Linked DNA regions of Danio rerio. Each later gene encodes a partner of the first gene's protein in a complex. Links are inferred from orthologs where the notes say so. Each region holds a gene or a part of one and is shown on either strand. Other genes may lie near its edges.

The links. The genes of interacting proteins can lie anywhere in the genome.
Region 2: the proteins of paxip1 (region 1) and h2ax are in contact, whole or in part, in a crystal structure (PDB 3SQD), measured with the Homo sapiens proteins. The link is inferred for Danio rerio from reciprocal best matches to the Homo sapiens genes PAXIP1 and H2AX. Residues at the interface, in NP_031375.3 of Homo sapiens: Phe871, Thr872, Gly873, Phe874, Pro876, Lys907, Thr909, Arg910, Thr911, Val912, Lys913, Pro986, Glu1050, Leu1053; in NP_002096.1 of Homo sapiens: Gln138, Ser140, Gln141, Glu142, Tyr143.

The regions. Positions count from the first base shown.
Region 1 is NC_133177.1:32,875,809-32,879,397, forward strand, and holds part of paxip1 (PAX-interacting protein 1), read right to left. Parts: intron 3,226-3,589; coding exon 3,115-3,225; intron 1-3,114.
Region 2 is NC_133180.1:31,151,490-31,154,195, forward strand, and holds h2ax (histone H2AX), read right to left. Parts: upstream 1,177-2,706; 5' UTR 1,134-1,176; coding exon 705-1,133; 3' UTR 560-704; downstream 1-559. UniProt on the Homo sapiens protein: Variant histone H2A which replaces conventional H2A in a subset of nucleosomes. Nucleosomes wrap and compact DNA into chromatin, limiting DNA accessibility to the cellular machineries which require DNA as a template.

The DNA of each region.
Region 1 (3,589 bases):
ACATAGGGCTCAACCTGTGCAGTGCACATGTCCTTTTTAGTCTTGGATAGAAAGTGCCCTTCTAAAATGATCAAAAGTGCCCCCCCACCGCCCTTCAGAGAGAGAGAGAGAGAGAGAGAGAGAGAGAGTTTTAATTTTATTGCCATTTCAGCTTCTATGGCTATGTCATGGCAAAAAAAAAACAGATCAAGGTTACCACATTTTATGAATACCACTTTTCTATATTCTTAAAAAAAGTCCTAAAAAAAATTAAGTCATTAACAGAAATAAATAATACACAAGGTAAAATACATAAATAATAATAAAAATGATAATATATATGATAAAAATCTAAAACAGTTTTTTACGGTTTCCTTTTGATAAAAATTCTACAATTTTAGAAGGATTAACATTTTTAAAAATTTCACTTAGAGTCTCTCCAGTTAAAAATTGTTGTCTAAGAACATTAAAAATGGGGCATTCCACAAGAATATGTTTAACAGTTTGTTTTTTGTTGCAATAAAGGCATTATGGGGGTTCTTCTCCTTTGAGTAAATGTTCATGCGTGAGTCTTGTGCGTCCAATGCGGCATCTTCTATACACAATATCATCGTGTCTTGACTTAAAAAAAAAGTGATTTTTTTCCTATTTCTTGTTGAATTTAAAAAAAAGTTTATTTTCTGGGCACTGATTCCCGCGCGCGACAACACCGCTCCTGAGTACGCGTGTTCCCTACCACCCCGCGCTTAACAGTACGCGCGTGACAAAACCACTCTTCAGTATGCACCCGGCGGTGGCGGCGACGACGACGACGACAACGACGACGACGACAACAACAACCCCCACCTGCTCTTCAAAAATTTTATCCTGCACATGCCCTTTGGACAGTCTCTGCACGAGCATGATGGGGAGGATTGGGAGGCTATGATCAGTGAGGGCCGATGGAGGACACCGAGGTTACAACCCTACTCTTTACGAGAAGTGCTATGGGATTTTTAATGACCACAGAGACTCAGGACCTCGGTTTTATGTCTCAACCGAAAGACGGCGCTCACTGACAGTATAGTGTCCCCTTTACTTTTACTGGGGCATTAGGACTCACAGACCACAGGTCAAGCACCCCCTGCTAGCCTTACGAACACCACTTTCAACAGCAACCTAGTGGCCGGAAAACAGCTTTTTTTGTCCCACCAAAGCCTTAATTGATTAGAAATTGTGTAATTGTGTTGAATATATAATAATATTTAAACAGACCTGTCTCCAAAAGCAAATGCATGACCATCATTTTTGTGAGGTAAGCTTATTAACCAATAAAGTGAGTAAGGGTGTCACGATCTCGATTTTAAATCGAAATCGATCGAAATTTATGCTCAATTTCGATTATCGAATCATAAAATAGAATCGTCGATGCTGCCACGCCCCCATGTCAAGTCAGCTTGGCTTGCCAAGCGGGAAAAAAACACGCTTGTTAAAGAGCTTGTTAAACGGCAGACGCAGGAGACCTGTCGACAGAGCTTAAACCCTCTCCTCTTTCAATGAAGTCGCCGGTGTGGAAGCATTTTGGTTTCCAGTGAGTTATGTTGATAACGTTCGTGTTGTCGACAAAAAAAAAAAAAAAAAAGTTTTGCAAGCTCTGCAACGCACGTATTAGGGTTCGTCCAATAGACAACACCGGCATCGCGATCCTCTGCCCCGCCCCCGTTGCAAATCCGCTCATGAAAAGTACACACTCTGGCAGTGTTTACACTAATATGTCTTTGTTTTTAAATGGCATTTTAGAACGACAACGATTTGACATCCACAGTGGCGTGTAGCATTTCTGAGCAGCCCTCTTTCCTCACTACCGTTGAAAACGCACATCACGTGACCAAACACAGACACAGACGCACACACAGCCATGCGCTCAAGACAGCGGGTACAGGCAGTTAGCGGGTCAGTAGACTGCTTCAATCTTTCACTCACTTGTACTTAGTCATTTTAGCGCACACCTCAGATACTGTTGGCTGGTTCCTGTTGCATGTGCACCTTTTTTACCGCAGCCATTATAACGACACATATCAATGCCTATTCATGAGTCCCGTAGAAAAAAAGAGATTGACAGGTGGTAATTATGTGTGTAACTTGCCTTTATTCATTTACTGTATGATTTGTTTATGGGTAAAACAAAGACCATGCAGGTCAGGTAGTTTAAACTGTAGGCTACAAATAATTAATTTGTTATTAATTATTCATAACTGAAAATCGAATCGAACCGTCACTTTAGAATCGAAAATGTAATCGAATCGAGGATTTGGAGGATCGTGACACCCTTAAAAGTGAGCGGAGCTTAATTTCCTCAATCAGCAGAGCCCAAACCAGCTGCAGGTCACTCCCACATAAATAAGCAGGAGAGCAGACTGTGAGCGGACAAGAGTTCCCAGAGAACACAAACCAGAGAGCCAGAGAGAACACAAACTTAGGTTTGATTTGCTGATAAGTTTAGACAAATAGATAAATTAAAAATATGGTCAGCCAGCCAGCCAACAAGCTAGACCAATTATTTACATGCAAATAAGTTAATATACAACAACACAATGAACTACAACTACAATTTTTACATAGCTTTACATGCATTCTGAATTATCCATGGCCTCAAAGTCAAAGACAGAGCATCAAAGTCAAAACAGAGCATGAATCAGCACAGTAAATTGTTAAATTATACAGAATGTTTTTAACTCAGAGTTCAATTTAAAAAGGTTAGCATTCTCACCAAATATAACCAATGACATTTGTTTGGGTACCAATAGTTGCCAATAAATGGCAAGCTTTAAAAAGCTAGACGGTAAGAACGGTGGCTATAAAACTGATTCTTTTTAAAATGCACCATTCAGAGCCAATAAAACAAAACCAGCCTGCCAGTCCCACTCCACAACTGATCCAATAGCAAACAACCCACAGACGTAAACCTAGACAGAGTCTTGCAAATAGCAGCTGTTAAACGCACTCTATTACTTGTAAACTTTAAGCGATCTGCAAAATCTCACACCTTCCCCTTTTTTCTTCAGAAAGAGGATGAAGTTAAACACTGTGTTGATACACAGTGCCATATGCGTACTATGCATTTAATATTATAGGCACAAAAAAAAACATGCTTACCCCCTTTGGTTCAGGCACAACCAGATGCGTACACTTTTTGTTGAAATGGAGCTGACAGTCACCTCCATAGAATGTAATAAAGGCCCAAAGTGCGTTAAGATCCTCTGCCAGCTGTAATGAAAACAAGGCTTGTAAATCAATCCTGCTGCATGACAGTAGCTATATTTTCATACAAAGTGGCACATTTAATTTGTGTGCAAAATTGGCATATCACATAAAACAAATAAACCATTGTTTCCATCCAATAAGCTGAAGAGGACAAATATCATGAAGAAGAAATGAGAGTTACTACAATAGGAGAAGCCACTAAGGGTCTTTTTGCATATAAAATAACGTACCTGCTCTTCAGAGTATGCATATGAAATGGTGAATGCGGTTATGTGTTCGTCTGTTACTTTTATTGGATCATGTGAGACAGTTCTGTTCCAAGTCATTTAATGACAGACTATGGAACAGGCATTTCTGAATCATTTTT
Region 2 (2,706 bases), on another chromosome or scaffold:
CCTTTTATCACTGGAAGAATATTCATGTAATAATCAAAGTACTGAGGTGCTAAGATTTTATGGGTGTTTTAGCACCATGTAAGATTTTTACTGGCAAAATTAGCTGTCTAAGTTCGTGTTAATATTTTATATTTATGTAGCAAGTTGTAAAGTGCCTTCCAAATGTGAAATTGACCAGCTATACTATAGCAATTACTTGGCCAGCAACATTGTGTTGTCAAATCAACATGAGAATGAATTAAAAAATGTGTTATAAATAATAAAGTATATCAACAACCCCCTGATGAGTTCTTTGGTTTTTTGCTGACACTGGAAAACAAGACTCACACTATCGTTCACTCATACATAAAGACTTTTTACATTATGAAAAAGACCAGAGAATTACTTTGCCTTACCTTGTGTTTATGAAAACCTAGTTTCCGTTTTCCAAATTAACTCGTATAAATTAATTATGAGAAAAAAAAAATGTACCGTTAAGAAATAAACACTGAAGTAACGTAAATTCTTAAATTGTGATAACAGTTAGCCTAAATCGGTTCAAAAAACACCAACATTAACATTATTAAAAAATGACAATTTAATAAGCAAAGCATGCATCTCAAAAATACAAGCTATATCACATTCAGACACATGGAAATTGCTCTTTTCAGAAGAGTTGGGTGGCCCTTAAAAGGGCCTTTGGATGAATTAGCTCAGTTCAACATTTAATACTCTTGTGACTGGGAAGATCCCTTCTTTCCAGATTTGCCGGAGCTGGCTGCAGCCTGGCCAGTCTTCTTGGGCAGGAGCACGGCCTGGATGTTGGGCAGAACACCGCCCTGTGCGATGGTCACTCCGCCGAGCAGTTTGTTCAGCTCCTCGTCGTTACGGACGGCCAACTGGAGATGGCGAGGGATGATACGAGTCTTCTTGTTGTCTCTTGCGGCGTTTCCCGCCAACTCGAGGATCTCAGCAGTCAGGTACTCGAGCACGGCGGCCAGATACACGGGGGCACCGGCGCCCACTCGCTCAGCATAGTTGCCTTTACGAAGGAGACGGTGAACACGGCCGACGGGGAACTGAAGACCGGCGCGGGAGCTGCGAGTCTTAGCCTTAGCGCGGGCTTTTCCTCCGGTTTTACCTCTTCCAGACATGTTGAATGGCTTACTTAACTCTTCGCGTGTGCAAGAAATCAGTACATTGGCAGTGAAACTGCTGCAGTATTTAAAGACTGGTTGAACGTTCAAAGCATAGTCCCGCCCACACATTTGATTGGTTGCGCGAAGGGAAGTACAGACCTGATTGGTTGTCGGTGGTGAAACCAGAGCGGATGTAATCCCCCATTGGCTTGAACTTGCAGTGCATAAACAGCGCAAAGTAACGAACCAATCAGAGTGTATCTGAATATGCGAGAGCTGATTGATTCGCTTGGTTCGTCTGCGCTAGTATTGGTCTTTCTTTACCTCAATCACATTTCGGCGGTAAGTTCAAACCAATTGAACATATTCCCTCTGAATTTTAACACAGTTTGACGCAAAACCAATTTTTTCATTTGTTTAACCCTCTCATGTACACTTATTGTGACGTAATATTTTATAGATTTAATTCACTCAATGTAAATGTCTTTAAAATGTGATTTGTATGCGATTTCTTTAAAATGCACAATGAATTAAATCACTTTGTCGTGATGTGACACTAAAGTGATTCAGTGTGCATTTTAGATAAATTCACTTTTAGCTGATTAATAATGGGAAATAAGAAAGGAGGAATGGTTTTTCAAAAATAATTTATTCAGAATAAATTAAACATCAAATGAACAACAATATAAAGCTCCGAATACCTCAGAAGGCCCAGCAGCAGCACCTTCACTTCAGATTGTTCGCTGTCATCACAACATTTTGCTCATACATTTTTCAGGCTTTATGCTCCAAAATGACTATAAAGCGCTGAGCCATTGACTCGTGACCTGCAATTCACTGTATAATTGCTAAAATGCTTTCCTGTAGCTATTATTTTGGTTAGAACACCCTTGCCTTTATTATAAGTTCAGGTTATTTGGAATGAAAAACAAAAGTCTGAGAATTGCATTGAGTCGTATGGGTGGGGAACCCCAGCAGACTATTTTTTAGTTTAATAGGCGTCTAATAGACATCTAAACATAAACAGCTTGGATTAGTCAAAACTACACTAGTCGTCAGATAGACAGACTTTATATATGTAGTCATTAATTTCTGTTTATTTGATGACTAGTCTAGTTTTGGCCTATTTTAGACGTCTACTGGAGTTTCACTGACAGCCCTTTATTTAGCCATGAGGACTGTTTAGACGTCTATTAGACATCTTAAAAAGGGAAGATACTGCGAGAGATTCTTTAAAGGGACAGTTCATCAAAATGATATTTGATTGGGGGTTTCAATCCTGTTTCGTGCAACATGAAGAGTTTAATGCAGATAACCAGCTTCAGTTACCACAGCATCTTTATATCCATCAAATGAAAATGAATGGTGACCACGTTGAGTAGGAGGTTTGAGTATGAACTACTCCTATATTTGACCTTACATTACCAGAAAACAACAAAGCCTCCTGCTTAGTATTACAATAAAAAGCTACCACTAATAAAATCTACTTTATGTATTTGACGTGCAAAAGACCTTTATTGCAGCTCACTTTAAATAAACGCGGTTGTGTGTTACTGGGGCAGCGCCTGTTCGGTTTAAAAAGCCATCT